2 linked regions of the Danio rerio genome follow. The protein of the gene in region 1 interacts with the protein of each later gene in a pairwise test. Links are inferred from orthologs where the notes say so. Each region holds a gene or a part of one and is shown on either strand. Other genes may lie near its edges.

Region 1 (8,875 bases):
TAATAAACTCATATAGGTTTTTATCCAGTGAAGGGTGAAGAAATTATGACATTTTTTGGGGAGGTGACCTATCCCTTTAAGTAACTTTTGATATTCAGGTATTTCTTTTATTTTGGTTCATTGCTTATATAGGGTTCTTAATAAATGTCTATGACGAAAATGAATGTGAAACTTCCAAAATTGGTTCATCTAATTCACCTCTACCAGGTCTTTGGATTGTGGAATAAACTAGACAGTGGAGGAAACCCCTGCCAACATGGCGAGAACATGCAAACTCCACACAGACATGCCAACTTGCCCAGCCTGGACTTGAACCAGAGACCTTCTTGCTGTAAAGCGACAGTGCTAACCACTGAGCCATCGTTCTACCTGACCACACACTAGTAATGCAAGAAATACAGTAAATAGTTGAATGTTAAGATTTATCAGTGTTAATAATACTGCATCATCCCAATCAAAAAAATAACACATAAATACTTACTGCTAAAGGCCTCTGGATATTGCTTTGCAACCTTGCCTTTTAACGTCCTGAGGAAACACAAAATATATTAGACGTTATGCAGCCTTTTTTTCTGAGCAAAAAAGTATGTCTATACATTTTACCATATTTTACAAAAATGTAATCTTTTCATGCACATTTAGAACAATAATTAAGTCATGCCATATTAAAAGACTCTGTTTAGGGCTCACAGTGGAGCAAAAAATACTAATTAATTGTCATTTTAAATCTTTACACTTTGCCTTCTGTTAGCTACCAATTTGTCAGTAATACTCTTTTAAAAAAATCTTAAAATATGAATACAATTTAGTATGATCACTTATTACTTGTTTATTTAACACTTTAACTGCCCCACTAAGAAAAATGTTTTGGATTGCATTTCTTAACTCCTAATGTCACTAGTAATGCACTCAATGCAAAACACATCCCATCATTTCTAAAGTATCAGCATCTACCAAATGGTAGATATGTTGGTTAATGGTAAAAGTACCAGAACTAATAAATATACTTTGAAAAATCGGAAAATATGAAGTGTAAGACTGATTATTTAAAAATAGATTCAAAATAAAACATTTCTGAATGATTTCTGAAAAATTTGAATACTATTTTTTTTTAAGTATACCATAAAATATTTTAGATTCTCATTTAACATGTTTTCTTGTTTGTTTTTTTGCAATCAAACCAAAATCAAGTGTAGTAGTGTGAACCATTATTTAAAACAGTCATTTCTTGAATGACTTTAACAGTCATTGTTTAAAATCAGTAAATATATGGTCAACCATTTGGATGAGCAGGCAGTTAAATGGTTAATAGGGGAGGGCAGAGCACAAAGTAACGTGGAGTAAAATAGAAAACAAGGTATTTGCGCAGGGTTAACCATGCCATGCTTCCGAAGTTTTCACCACAGTGTCGGTCGGCAAATGTCTTCCTGCCAATTATTGAAAACTTTCAGGGAAATTTTAATGAGAAATACAGGAGAAACCGTTTTTGCAGCATAAAAGTTTTTTTTTTTTTTTTTTAGTTGGTATTTTTTATTTAAAAAAAAAATCTGTGTAAGTATGCAAGTAAAATCTTATATTGCTGTGATTACCTTCTTCTAGGCTGAAAGATGGAACCATTTTGAAAGATGTAAAAAAAAAAACTGTGACTGATAATATATATATATTTTTTTTTTTTTGAGTGTAATGTTCAGAACTTTTTATACAAAATGTTTTATAAAAGAAAATATTTTTTAATAGAAAAAAATTTATTTTATAGCTAATACTGCAAATAAGTGCATTGTATAATAATGTACAATAATGAAATAAATCCAAATGTCTTTATCCAACAGATAAATAAATAAACATATTGTGCTATGTTGAATAAAAATAAACTGAGCAATGTACTGAGGAAATATAGCTACTATTTAAATAAACTGATTTTAAATAAATTGTGTGAGAGCTGACTTTATAAGCATGTGTTACAACTAACCCTCTGTCTGTTACAACTTGCCCCACATGTGGGGTAAATAGTAACATTTTTACTCCCTGCACTTTTGGCAATAATACACAGAAACCATAGGTCTGAAAATCATACAACCATTGCTCATTGGTAGGAGAGGCTTGTGTGTTGTTGGTAAAAATAAATGGTTCAGGGTTCAGACACATTTTTACTACTAAAATTCCATGACTTTTGCATGATTTTTCCAAAACTTTTAAGTAAATTTTTATGACCTTAATGTTTCATGCAATGTCTACATATGCATGGTAAAAGAAAAACAATGCAGGTTCAAATTGATTACAGCATATCGTAAAACAAGCAACAACCTATTAAGTTTTAATTTATATTTACATCTATGTAAAATTGATTCAGATAATGCTTACATCACACTAATATTGTGAGAATGTGACTGGCAAAGGACAGAAAAGCAGTAAATAACCTATATTCAAGTATAAAGATTTCTGTTTTCCATGATTTTTCCAAAACTTTGTGGGTTTTTCTCTTTTTCCCAAACTTTCCCAAGCCTTGAAAAAGGCATGTCAAAATACTACGACTTTTCCAGGTTTTCCTTGACCGTATGAATTCAGATGGTTTGTCTAACTCCATTACTTTGTTCATTATTTGGCCAAAACCAAAAAGTGTTACTTTGTGCCCCGCTCTCCCCTATACACAGGTGAAAACTAGAGTACATTTTCTATTTACACTTAAATAATGTACTGACTTACAATGTAATATTACTCAACTAATTTGTTGAGTTTAATTTGTGAAAAGTTACTTTAATGGCATTTTAAATGACAAAATAGTAAAATATGGTAACACACTCATTGCTAAACATCACTCAATTCAATCTTAATTTGCAAACATAACACCTTATTCTTCTGAAGATGCTGTCCAAGTCTTTCTTCATCTCTATCAAAGTCCTGGTGTGCATCAGAAAGTGTTCATTCATCTGCTGTAAGCGCACATTGGACAAGCCGTTGAAGTTGATCAGCATCTCATTGGTTTTCTCAAAGCGGTCCAGCCTGTAGGACATGCATCAAAACAGGTTTTAAACAGCTTCCTTTTTAGGTACTTTACTAGAATTTAGGTACGTTAAAGTTGGTTTTAAATTCAACTTGTGACATTCTTCCTATATTTTGAGGTGAAGTTGGTTTTATATTCACACATTCAGACTTTCTCTTTAATAATATAATTTCAGAAACTTACTCTTTGCGAATACTAAATAGTGGAAACATATTAGCAGTCAATGAGCATCAGACTAGGTTGTTTATAGTCAAATAAATAGTGGTTATGTTGTTTTGAAGTCATTCTTACACAGGATTTCAGACCCAATGTTTTACCAGTACCATGGTAAACAATATAGGGACCATATCACAAGTGATCACTGAAAGAATGTTCAAATATAAAACCAACTTTACCTCAATTTCCTTATGTTTACCGTGGTAATTTGAATAATCGAAATCAGGGCGAGGCAGTGGTGCAATAGGTAGTGCTGTTGCCTCACAGCAAGAAGGTCTCTGGGTCGCTGGTTCGAACCTCGGCTCAGTTGGCATTTCTGTGTGGAGTTTGTATGTTCTCCCTGCCTTCGTGTGGGTTTCCTCCGGATGCTCCGGTTTCCCCCACAGTCCAAAGACATGCGGTACAGGTGAATAGGGTAGGCTAAATTGTCCGTAGTGTACGAGTGTGTAAATGTGTGTGTGGATGTTTCCCAAAGATGGGTTGTGGCTGGAAGGGCATCCGCTGCGTAAAAACTTGCTGGATAAGTTGGCGGTTCATTCCGCTATGGTGACCCCGGATTAATAAAGGGACTAAGCCGACAAGAAAATGAATTATATGAAATCACAAAGACTATAGAATACATAGAATACAATATGCCTTACAGGGACTTTGGTGTGACTTGAAAACAACATTAGCACTATTTATTTGACTGTGAACAATGTTGCATTTTGATAGTCATTGGCTGCTAATATGATTCCACTGTTAAGAATTTGAAAACGACACTTTTCTGAAGTTATACTGTTAAGGAGAAAGTCTGGATGTGTGAATATAATCCGAATTTTACCTCAATTTCACTAGACAGGGATACTCACATATGTCTCTGGGCTTGAATGATGGCGTTCACATCCTCAGAGTTCACCATACTGAGCATCCTGTTACAGAATATTCCCGAAGCTGTGGGCTCCATTTGAACTTTTTCGAGAGCAAAGCACGAGATTTATTGAGTTATGCTAATAATAAACCGATACAGACGAGTGTAATCGCTTACGTGCTAAAATATTCGCTTTCTGACTAGTTTTCGTCTGACTTTGTTTGTTTCTAAAGCGTCGCAGTCTGATGCAGGAGGTTTTGCATGTATGCAGACTTTTATTGTATTCCTAAAACGATCAAACATTTACTGGACTGAGATGCAGGCAGACATTTTTGTTGTGGTGTTGTCATATGATCGCTGAGAGATCGTGACGCATTTGGGAGGCGGCATCTAGAAGGTTTTCTTAGCGTTGATTGGATGTTCAGAAAGACAGAAAGAGGGGTTTAAAAGGGCTTTAAAATGAAATGTAGATTTATAATGCGCTTTCTGTGATGATAAAGAAGAGAGTATTGCTCATTTATGTTATGGTTGTATTTATACACAGTTGTTTTGGTGTTATCTTTTTTTTTTTTTTGGTAAACGTTATGAATATTGCTTTTCAATTCAAAGAAAAAGATTATTTATTCTTTATATGAGAATACTGTCTACTTTATAATGTGGTGTTTTGTAATTTGCTAATTATATATGGAAATATTTTTATTCATAAATGTACATGTGCAGTGGAAAAACCTAATTTTACTCACTTAAAAATAGAAATAGGACAAGGACAATAAAAGAAACAAAAAATACCAAACAAAAAGAACTGTTATTATTATACTATTATTATCTTAAAGCCTTAAATGCTGTCTTTGAATAATTGTATTTTTTTATTTTTGTTTTATGTTGTATTTATTTTTATGTAAACATAATGTTTTTATTCCCTTTGTATGTTCTGTGTTCTAAAATTGCAATAAAAAAATAAATAAATAAAAAGGGCTTTAAAATATTGTTTTAATTTGTTTTAACATACAATATAAAATAAGAATACAGTATCCCAAAATGACTTCAGTACTATATGCACCACATGAGATGGATATTATGAATATATATATATATATATATATATATATATATATATATATATATATATATATATATATATATATATATATATATATATATATATATATATATTAGGCCTGTATTTTATATTTCGGTAAATATTAGTTTCTATTTATAAATATAAATGTTATTATGAATAGTGGAAGTAATTTATTCAGTTTATTTAAGCATTTTCTAAACCTATTAATATAAATGGCGTTATATGTAAACTGTATTATTACATTTTTAAGAAATACTTTTTTATTAATTGATTTTAATACATTTTAATTATGTAAAAATATACATTTGCATAATTAACTTATTTGTATTAATAGTATATATTGTTTGAAGATTGCTTATTATATTATTCGATTTCAGTTTATTATACACAATGTAAAAATGATATGACAAAAGTCAACAATATTTTGTTACTTTAACTTATTTAAATAAGTTAATAAAGCTGTATGGCATTGATTTCTGAAGTGTATAATGTTTGGCATTACAGAATTATTTCTAAATGGATCTTGTCACTGAACACTACCATTATACATAATGTACAGTTGAAGTCAGAATTATTAGCCCCCTTGATTTATTAGACCCCCCTGTTTATTTTTTCCCCTCAATTTCTGTTTAACAGAGAGAAGATTTGTTCAACACATTTCTAAACATAATAATTTTAATAACTCATTTCTAATAACTGATTTATTTTATCTTTGCCATGATGACAGTAAATAATATTTCACTAGATATTTTTTAATACACTTCTATGCAGCTTACAGTGACATTTAAAGGCTTAACTATGTTAATAATGTTAAGTAGGTTAGGATAATTAGGCAAGTTATTGTATAATGATGGTTTGTTCTGTAGACTATCAAAAATACAAAGTTTAAAAGGGCTAATCATTTTGACCTTAAAATGGTTTGTAAAAAATTAATAACTACTTTTAATCTAGCAGAAATAAAGCAAATAAGACTTTCTCCAGAAGAAAAAATATTATCAGACATACTGAAAAAATGGCCTTGTTCTGTTAAACATCATTTGGGAAATATTTAAAAAGAAAAAAAAAATCAAAGGGGGGCTAATAATTCTGACTTTAACTGCATACACAATTTAACCTTTTATTTTTAGCCAGTTTTTAACTGGTGTGAGTTGAGATGACGACTACAGCTAGTTAATTTGATTTAACTGAAAAGTTAGACAGCAAGATTTATTTCAGAGTGAATTATATGTGTGTGTCTTTGTGTGTGTGTTTTAAAATATTATATAGATAAATTCATATAGATTTAGGTTAATTATTGTTATTTGATATTTTGGACGTTATAAATTCTTAAACAAGATTCAGCGATGCAGAGGTGCAGTAGGTAGTGCTGACGCCTCACAGCAAGAAAGTCGCTGATTCGAGCCTCGGCTGGGTCAGTTGCCGTTTCTGTGTGGAGTTTGCATGTTCCCCCTGCGTTCGCGTGGGTTTCCTCCGGGTGCTCCGGTTTCCACCACAATCCAAAGACGTGCGGTACAGGTGAATTCGGTAGGCTAAATTGTCCATAGTGTATGAGTGTGTGTGAATGAGTGTGTGTGGATGTTTCCCAGAGATGGGTTGCGGCTGAAAGGGCATCCGCTGTGTAAAAACGTGCTGGATAAGTTGGCGGTTCATTCCGCTGTGGCGACCCCGGATTGATGAGGGGACTAGGTCGAAAAGAAAATTAATTCTTAAACAAGATTATTTGACATTTTTGTATTTGTGTATACACAGATTTTCAGCATTATGATCTCAATACACCCGTTGACATCTAGTAGAGTAGAAATTACATTTTATGCAAAACAATTTTAACAAAAATCAAAAAACTAAATCTCAAGCGTATCTTGCTATTTTAATTCTATTTTTAGTATTTATTCAAATTTAAATTAGTTTTTTTAAAGTAACATTCTCAGGGCACTGCATGAGTTACACTCTCAGGGCTGGGTTGCGGCAGCAAGAGTAAAACATATGCCAGAGTAATTGGTGGTTCATTCCGCTGTGGCAAATAAAGAAACAAGGAAAGTGAGTGAGTGACAACCTTTTTTAAAAATCAGTTTAAAAAAATGTAGTCCCCATGAACCAGAAGCTACGATTTAAGCTTTTTTTTGTAATGTGACGTAGTTCCTAGAGAAACGGGATAAAAATGACAAATTACGATTTTTTTTTCTTAATGACATGCACAGATGAATTGTTCACCGCAAAACTAGCAATGTGAGCTGATAAAATCATTTGATAAGTTTTAATTTCACGGGGATTTAAATTTCTTAATGAACACAACCATAATAATATATAAATGTGTTATTTTAGAATGTAAAAATATTCTGAGAGAAATAACTGCAAGTTATAAATTGTTAAAAATAATCCAGTGTTGGGTTGCAGCTGGAAGGGCATTCGCTGCATGAAGCATATGCTGAATAAGTAGGTGGTTTATTCCGCTGTGGCGACCCCAGATTAATAAGGGGACCAAGAAAAGAAACAAAAATGAATGAATAATAATCATTTAACAGTTTCAAAAAAATAAATATCTGCCTTCTTTAGCAACTCAATGTAGTTCGGCGGTTGCCCAGTAAGCGGCAGTAAATACAGATTCAAATCTGATCCTCACTCAGTCAACTTTCATAGAAGAAGCCGATCGCGTAGTCGAGCTCTTTAGAAGAGTTTATCCAAATCTATCACAGTACACAACTTATCCGTATAATTGAAAGGTTTTGCCCTTGAAAACAGGTGAGAAACTCACTTTACAATTTTTATAAAACCGAAAAATTAGCTTATAAGCCCGTTGCGTGCTGTACATGTAGCTGGCTAACGTTAGCATATTCCTTTCTAACGTTCAATACTTATTCTTCCAAAACATTCTTCGTATTCATGCTTCAGACGCCCAATAACGCTTCAAGAGTTACCTGTATATTTAAAACCATCATGACAACTAACAAAGCGTCTTTGAATCTCATTTCAGCTGGTCAAAATGGCATTAGACTGGGTTGGCAATCTTGTTTCAATCCATTGTGGACCAACTCTAGGAGTCTACCAAGGGGAGATTTCTTCAGTGGATCAGACCAGTCAGACCATCTCTCTCAGAAACCCCTTCCACAATGGAGTCAAATGCACTGTGCCTGAGGTTACCTTCAGGTAAATTATAAAAGAGAGCTGTGTTATTATGTCTTTTATCATTTTTACTGATGTTTTTAGGATGGATACTTTCGTCTCATTTGTCTTAAGCCACACTTGTGTGGTATTTTGAAATCCCTTTATGTAATTTGAGTTGTAGAATTTTGTTAATGTTTGTTAGATTTTTGTTAATGAATATATAAGAATCATTTATTCAACCTCTCTTTTTTTCTAAACCTGCATAAGTTCCCTTTTTCTGTTAAACACAAATTAAGTTAATTTGAAAATAATAATAATGTGGTCGTTATTGACTTATAGCAGAGGGAAACTTTGGAAGTCAGTGTTAACCAATCATTTTGGAAGTGAAAAGTTAAAAAGAAGTCAAAAAGCCTCGTTATGCTATTTAAAAATATTACAAAACCTTTCCTTTTTTATGAATTAGTGGTGTGAATAGACGCTTACTTCCGGAGATGGGAAGTAACAAAGTACAAATACATTCGTTACTGTACTTAAGTAGATTTTTCTGATATCAGTACTTTACTCCACTACATGTTTTTTCTGACAACTTTTTACTTTTACTTCTTACATTTTTTTACACAGATAT
Region 2 (8,601 bases), on another chromosome or scaffold:
AATGGCATACTGTGAGTCTAAAACACACTTGTTTCCCTCATTCTCATGTAAATCCTGAGAATGTAAAATCCCAGTGAAAAACAGGCCACTTGGAACAAAAACATTAACTCCGGCTATACACATGGGATCATAAATATCCACGCCCCGGGCTGAGATTATACACAACAGTTACATATTTTTTCCTTATTTTTATTAATATAACTAAGTTGTTATGTATGTGGGACTTTTATTTTGAAAGAGTTAAGGAGCAGTTTTGTTAAGCAGGAAGCCATGGATTACAATGGAGCATTCACAGCTTGTCAGAATGCAAAATGCAGGATATACAGATTAATGCCACCCTGAAGAGGCATGAAAGAGGTTTAAAATGTCTTTTGTTAGTTTAACGTGTATTTTGTGAAATTTGCCATACATGTATGTTTGTAATGAGCCAACAGATGCACGTTTAAAATAAAGCAACAGACACATGCACATTGTATTTAAGCTCAGCACATATAAACAGTTTTAATATATATATATATATATATATATATATATATATATATATATATATATATATATATACAGTTGAAGTCGGAATTATTAGCTCCTCTGTATATTTTTCCCAAATGTTTGCTTAACAGAGAGAAGATTTATTCAACACATTTCTAAACATAATAGTTTTAATAATTCATTTCTAATAACTGATTTAATTTATCTTATAAGGTTTTATTTGGGTTAATTAGGTTAACTAGGCAGGTTAGAGTAATTAGGCAAGTTATTGTATAATGATGGTTTGTTCTATAGATTATATTAAAAAAAAAAAAAAAGCTTTAAAGGACTAATAATATTGACCTGAAATGGTTATTTAAAAAACTAAAAACAGCTTTCATTCTAGCTGAAATAAGGCAAATAACACTTTCTCCAGAAGAAAAATTAGATTAGACATGTTGTGAAAATTTTCTTGCTTTGGGAAATATTTTTAAAAAAATAATAAAATCCAAGGGGGGCTAATAATTCTGACTATCTGTATACATTGGATGTTTTCATTACATTAGACTGAAAAAAAACACTATCAAAAGCCAAAAAGTCCACAATCTTAAAATTGTAAGGTTTAAGAAAACAAATCAGAGTTTTGCCTGCAGTGTCTCGCCTTAAAGCTACATTTCCTATGTTTGTTTTTTTGTTTCTGTTTTGCGGAATCACACATTGTTGGTCAGTATTATCTTAAAATACGGTGCTGTTCATAACATACAGGAACACCTGGTTGAAAACCACTCAGGTATAGACTATGTTAAGCTTATAATAACAATCAAGACTTGTTCAAGGGAAAAACATCTATAAACTGTCCATTACTTTACAGTTATGGGTGTGAAAATAACTTGACAAAATAAAGCTTCCTCCATATCACACAGACTGTTTATTCACTGTTTTATTGAGTTTGTCTTCTATTGGTTCAATCTGGATGTATTGTCTAACCCTGTTTACTCGAGAGTTAATATGATGAAATATACACACACTCTAAAAAAGGCGACACAGTGGTTAGCACTATAGCCTCACAGCAAGAAGGTCTCTGGTTCGAGTCCCGGCTGGGTCAGTTGGCATATCTGTGTGTACTTTGCATGTTCTTCCCTCGTTGGCACGAGTTACCTAGGGGTGCTCCAGTTTCCTCCCACTTTCCAAAGACATGTGCTGTAGGTGAACTGAACAGACTAAATTGTCGGTAGTGTATGTGTGTGAATGAGTATGTATGGATGTTTCCCAGTACTGGGTTGCAGCTGCAAGGGCATGCACTGTGTTAAACATATGCTGGATAAGTTGGCAGTTCATTCCGCTGTGGTGACCCCTGCCGAATAAAGGTACTAAGCAAAATGAAAATGAACGAATACACAAGAACGCTAGGTTATTTTAACCAAAACTGGGAAAATACGGACAAACCTTTACTTTGGGTTTTATTTGGTCCTATAATAACACAGTGGTTCATTTTGCCCATATTTTATCCAAAATTGAGTTGAAATAATCCAGCATTTTTTGTGTAATTTAAAAAATTGTTCTAATTTGATCATGGTAATATTATCAAGGTGCATTCAAAATATTATAAAATGGTCATCAAAATTTTCATCAATGTATTTAAAAACAATACACATAAGACATGAAATAAACTATCCAGTGTCAGCACCATTTTGAAATAATGTAGCGTTTTCACTGTGCAGAATACTATAGTATGCATGATAGAATTCTGCCCTATTCTCTCATAACAGGACAAAAATAAAGTTATTTATTTATAACAATATTAGTTATTATTACAACTACAAAGTTATTTCAAAAATGCTGTAAAGCAAAAGTAAAAATACTTGCATATTTGTTCATTGCCATTTAGATGATTAAATAATTGTATGATATTAATTATAACGATCTGTGAATTACAGACGCAAAGATATGTTGTGATATTAATAGTTACTGTTCTTAGTGTAAAATGTTTATTTGTCTTTAACACTTTTTTTTTCACATGATTTGCATAAAACATACTGTATGTGTTACAATTCAAAGTGTTTGTCAAACGTTCTTCAAGAAGTTTTCATTTTTGAGACTAGATTTGTTGTTCATACCAGGTCTACTGAACAGTGTATCATCAGTGCTTATGCATTTAGAAAAAAAACAACAGAACACTTTTTTTTTTGTACAATGATTTATACACACACTTGTTTTTCAAACATCCATTGACATATTTCAGTTTTTTTTTTTTTTTGGTTTGAAAACACCTAAAAAGTCTCTTTAAATAAAGCTGAAATAATTAACAAATCTATAGCATAAATCAATATAAAAAAGGTTGAGAAACCCAACATGCGAAGTAGTGCATCACGATCCCTTCATCTGAGATTTAACAGAAGGCATACAGCTCGTATGGTGACACAGGAGGAAAAAAATCAAGAATAAAAGAGAATATAATTATGTGCTATACTTGTTGAACAGTTTGTCCTCTTAGATGTTTTTTTTAAATTGTGCAAATAAAGCAGTTTATTCTAAAAATGATGTGACTGCAGAATACTGTATGCCAAAAGATCTTTGCTGCTCTTCCGGCTCACACATATACAGTACAGTTACCGTCAGGCAGTATCTTTATTTTACAGTGAGTGATCAATGAGGTTTTTTTTACACCCAGAAATTCTTCGGATCAGTTCAATTATTGTTCTCCTTTCAGTTTTATCTTGGGACCCAAAAAAACGGGTCTAATAGTTGATTTAATGAAAATGATGCTGCGTTTTGATTAATAAGCACTTAATTCTTCTGTAAGATTTTCACAATCTTACACCAGCACCACTGCGGTCTGGTAACAGGCTATTATTTACTACAAGCAAACAAACAGAAAAAACAAATCAATCCTAAATAATAAAAAACACACACACTCTTACCTATTTACATCAACATGTGTTACTTATTATTTGACATATTCGCCTAAAGATAATAAAAATACAAAGGGAAAAAAAGTCACGGAGCCAAATACAAAACCTACGCTTAGCTTTTAAAGGAAAAGTAGGAGGTTTAAAATGGGGTGAAATATCAGTGTAGTGTTTATACTAGTGCTTTACTTTGCACTATAGTGTCAAATGGAGAAAACGCAACGGTTTTTATGTATTTCCTACCAGAGTAGTGATGATGGGGACAGAGCTAAATAATCGGGTGCATTTGGGTGACGTCTGTTCCTGTCGAAGGTCGAGTCGGCCTGTTTAGCAGCCGAAGGTCTCCTGGGAGGCGTAAACCATGTAGAGGAAGCCGTCTTCGTCACGCTCTTGTTCGTAGATCTCAGAAATGGGGGTGGACACGCTGACCATGCTGTGCTGATTGACAAGAAGGAAAAAGGCCTGGGTGGGGTTGAGCTGCAGTCGACGCCTGCGAGAGATTTCAGAGTTGATTATAATGACTAAAACATGCACATTCAAGGCAAATGCAAGGCTGTTCCGCTTAATCCACAGTTGCTCTTTAGTTTCTTAAGCACTTGCATGTCAATGTTAAAAGTTACAAAAGTCCACAGGGCGCAAAAATATTTCCAAATACCATCATAAAAGTATCATATTTTAAAAAATGTAAAAAAAAAATTTTCACCAATATCAGCCATGATGAGATCTACAATATTAGCCAATAAAGCCATGATAAAACTACATTAGCACCCTTTTTAAGATTGTTTATATATTGCCACTATTGTTGAAAAAACTACACTAAAAAATATTTTTACTGCTTGTTTAAACCACTTATTTGAGATAAGCAGACTCAACACAATTCTTTGGTTTTTTTGACAACCTAATTGTTTTATATACAATCCACTTAAATGTGTAACAACAATCAAGTTAACAATCGAATTGTGTTGGGACAACATGAAGCAATTTTTGTTGAACCCTGCATTTTGTACAGTGTAAATATATTATTTTACATACATTCCAGTAGGGCTGGCGGTTCATTCCGCTGTGGTGACCCAAGATTAATAAAGGGACTAAGCCGAAGAGAAAATGAATAAATAAAAGTAGGTCTGCACAATAAACTTCAACACATTGTAAACACAACTGTTTTAAAAGTAATCTCTAATAACTAATTTCTTTTGTCTCTGCCATGATGACAGTACATAATATTTTAGTAGATATTTTGCAAGGTAGTAGTATTCAGCTTAAAGTACAATTTAAAGGCTTAACTTGGTAAATTTGGTTAATTATGCAAACATTGGTTTGTTCTGTAGCCAATTAAAAAAATATATATTTCTTTAGGTGGCTAATTACACTGACCTTAGTTTTTACTTTTTTCATTCCAGTCAGATAATAAGACTTTATTACTAATACTTTATAATTCAGAAACCTTGCCAACAAAATGGAAACCTGTTAACAAAAGCACTTAAATGGCACTGGAATGAAATACTGCCATTTTAATGGGTTTCAGTGGGGTAATTTGGGCCTTGAAGGTCCTAAGAGGAATTATTTTTTGCACCACGTGTAAAATAGATTTATGAATGGAAATGGGGTAATAATAATACACTTCAATACAAATACAGCTTTTTGCCTAAATGTATGCTGCTTGCATTAATACAAGAAAACCTGGCCTAAAAATATAATGATGGACAAGGTTTTTTTTTTTTTAAACTCATTTCTGTTTTTTGAGAGCATCAAATTAGATAATTTCACTGAAACATATGCAGTAAGATAACTTCAAAATTCCATGTTAAACTACACATAAGAAAATTACCTTAGCATTTTGTTAGAATCCTAATTTTTACAGTGAAGTGTCAGAAACTTCACCTTTGAACTCAAAATTTAATCATGATTTCAAGCCTGATCTATAAATAATATGGCAGCCATGACTCATAGGCAAGGATTATGAAGTATGATCGGCAGCATGTGTCTCTAGTCTGATCATCTGACCGAGTCTGTGTTCAAATACCTGGAAGGCAACACTGATCTTACAAGAGGAAAGATAACTTGCTTTCACATTCAAGCATCACAAAAGAAATAGGAAAATAGCCCGCCACAAAGAATGTGGATGTTGCGCAAACAGTTTTCAAGTTCAAGCAGTTGAAAAGAGTTTTGCTAAAGTCTCCTGTTGATGACGGGGTCAGAAGACACTTTTAACTGGAACCGCATAGCATTCTCCTCCCCCATCAGACAAGTAAACAAACTGGATACAGCTAAAGTAAATGCTATTTACTGCTTACAGTGACTTGCACAAAAATATTTCTGTTTATCTCCATTTCTTCATGACTTTCAGCTGATATCAATAAGTCTCAACGTCCTGTTTTTTTGTGCATTTAAATTTTCCAAAGTCAAAATTAGGCACTGAATTTATGGATGTTTACCTGATAATCTTTACCAGCTCACTCATGTTAACATGGTCAGGGACAAGGAACTTGGTCTTGTCCAAGACTGGAAGTTGCTTTTCCCCCTTATACCTCTCAATGATCACCTGGAAGAAGAAAAAGTGTTGAAATGGGTCTAGTAGCATTTTTTTTAGACAACATATCCTTTGAAATATATTTATACAAACCAAATATACAACACTGTAATATAGATTTCAAATGTTCATACATTAGAATAGGTTTTATCAGATTATACAATAGTGACTATCAGACACAATCTAAAATACTAGTCAGTGCAATAGTTTATATTTGAAAAATCTTCAGGCATATTTAAACAAGAATAATTTGATCATGACATTAAAATGTTCTTTTTAATCATTTTAGTGCAGTTTTAGTATGATCACCTATTCTTTTATACATTTTATTACAATAAAGCCAGCTGCTGCCATTGCATTTTTACATTATATGCTAAATGATTATAGATCAATATTTTCTAATCATTTAGCATATAATGTCAAAATGTTAAAGTAGAACATTAAAGTAGAAAGTTACTATGCTTTTTATGTACAGTGCTCAGCATATACGAGTACACCCCCCACAAATGTCTGATTTCAATTAATATTTTCTATAGGATACTGTACAATATTTTATTTGTGCATATACATTAGTTTATTCAGTACTGAAGCCATAGGAGCCTTAGGAACTTTTACAAAAAATATATACAATTTTGTTGAAATGTTGTAGTTTGTAATTTTTTTTTGCAATATTTTGCATTAATTTAAATATATTATCTTTTCATTTCTAAATATGTTCTGTGACTGAAATATTATTTTTAATAAAAATATCTGTTTAATTATCGGTTTTGATCAAATGCACCAATATATATTATCCATATGCACCGAGAAATGGGGAAAAAAATTTCGCCTCCAAAAATTTTCAAACTGGGGAGAGAACTGTATATAAAAATCACTTATACTGAATTTGATGCAGATGACAGAATGGAATGTCTTGTCTTTGAAATATATTTCCTAATATATTTCACTAAAGATAAAGATTACAATAAAAAATTAAGATTATTTCCTAATATATTTTGATATATTCATATAATGGTTTAGAGCTGTGGATACATAGAACAATGTATTTTAATATTACTTATTTTTATATTTCCAAGGTCTAGAAATCACACTTTAAAATGATTGATGCTTTGTTAAATAAATGCAGTATTTCTAACTGCTTTAGCTTCATCTTTTCTTTTTCAATAATTCTAAGTCACCCCAAGGCCCTCATAGAAGTTGAAGCCCATTGTTTTAGAGTAATAAATTTCAGGATCTTAAAAGAAATCCGGAGCTGACAGGTAAGTGACATCTTGAAAGCAATAAGGCTAAAGCAATAAGTCTAAATTCATTTATGACACTTGCATAAAACAAAACTAGTTTCTCACCGGAATTTTATTAGGATGCTGCTCTCGTATCTGCTGCACTTCCTTGCAACGATCAGCTGAAAAGACAAAAAACAAACAGAAATTTGGTACACTTCTGAATAATATACATTTTACAGTCCAAATTCAAAATACACAGTAAGTATATTTTCAAGACTCATTCCTGAAAACACTGTAATCACTGCATTAGCATTTGCTGAATTTGCTTATGTCAAACCTGTTTAGCAGAAACGCTCAATAAACATTCCTAAAAACTTGAGGAAAAATAATTGCGGATGTGTTGTTTGACATGCCCTACTCTACAAACCTATTCCACCATAATGTACAGTATAACAGACAAACAAACATTAATTTCTGTTAAAAGGTTTAATATCTTTTGTTATCACTCTGAAAGCTCAACAATGGTTAATCAACGCATTTGCATTATTTAAATAAACTACACGTTTTAATCTTGTAATTAAAATTTACAAGATTTGCATTTTTAGAGACATTGTCTGTTTTTATTCCTTTTCTATCATTTATTTCTCATCTGCTGATTATTTTATTAATTTATGTTAATATATTACATAGGCTATTTTCTATACATTTCTAAAATGCTTTGGCATTCGAGTTTGCTTTGAACTTGGAGTGAAAGAAGCAGATTTTACCTGTCAGAGGGTGCAAATGGCTCCTGAATAGTATAAAAGTAAGAGAAATAGTGGATTTTTTTCAACAGTCTTTTTACTTTAAGCCATTGAAAAGAAACTGTATAACAATGTCATAATAAATAAAATTGTAAAAATTAACTTATGTTTTGTTTGTCGAAAATCAATATCTATTTAAGTGATGATGTGGGTAACTTGTGTTTCATTCTGGCTACCACTGCAAGTATATTTCAAAGTAAAACTAAAAAAAATCCAGCTTGCTTATCAGGGTAAGCTTCCTAACTTGTGTGTCATTTTTACTGATGTCATGTCTGGGTCATCCGTGTCAATTGTATAATCCCAAAGGCTGGACAAATATAAGACTGTATGCAGATCATATTGACCCGGACTCTTACAGATGTGTTTGAAACAGCAAATCTATGTTGCACTTGTTATGTTTAGGAAGATTATGCAAGGGTTTTATGCTCCTCCCTCCCCACACCCTGTCCACAGTCTGGACTATGAGAAAGAGCTCATATTACAGCATCATATCAACAGCACGTGTACAGTCCATCCTTTCCTTCAATGTTATTGTCAAACAATAAATATTCTAAATATATAAATGCATCATTTACACCAAATGTAACAGAAAAACACTACTGTCAAAAAAAAGAAATGTTGATCTCACATTTTCACAAAGCTGGTAAACAACACATTTATCTAGCTAC

Evidence for each region. The genes of interacting proteins can lie anywhere in the genome.
Region 2: the proteins of kxd1 (region 1) and map1lc3a interact in binary tests that used the Homo sapiens proteins (3 or more experiments, as listed by UniProt). The two-hybrid records come from large-scale screens. The link is inferred for Danio rerio from reciprocal best matches to the Homo sapiens genes KXD1 and MAP1LC3A.

The regions. Positions count from the first base shown.
Region 1 is NC_133200.1:21,948,741-21,957,615, reverse strand, and holds the start of kxd1 (kxDL motif-containing protein 1), read right to left. Parts: upstream 4,420-8,875; 5' UTR 4,164-4,419; coding exon of another isoform or gene 4,069-4,163; 5' UTR 3,417-4,068; intron 3,001-3,416; coding exon of another isoform or gene 2,973-3,000; coding exon 2,848-2,972; intron 529-2,847; coding exon 482-528; intron 1-481. Other genes in the region: edc3 (enhancer of mRNA-decapping protein 3), read left to right, coding at 8,129-8,292.
Region 2 is NC_133186.1:28,688,032-28,696,632, reverse strand, and holds the end of map1lc3a (microtubule-associated proteins 1A/1B light chain 3A), read right to left. Parts: intron 7,310-8,601; coding exon 7,254-7,309; intron 5,920-7,253; coding exon 5,813-5,919; intron 3,868-5,812; coding exon 3,705-3,867; 3' UTR 2,647-3,704; downstream 1-2,646. UniProt on the Homo sapiens protein: Ubiquitin-like modifier involved in formation of autophagosomal vacuoles (autophagosomes). While LC3s are involved in elongation of the phagophore membrane, the GABARAP/GATE-16 subfamily is essential for a later stage in autophagosome maturation.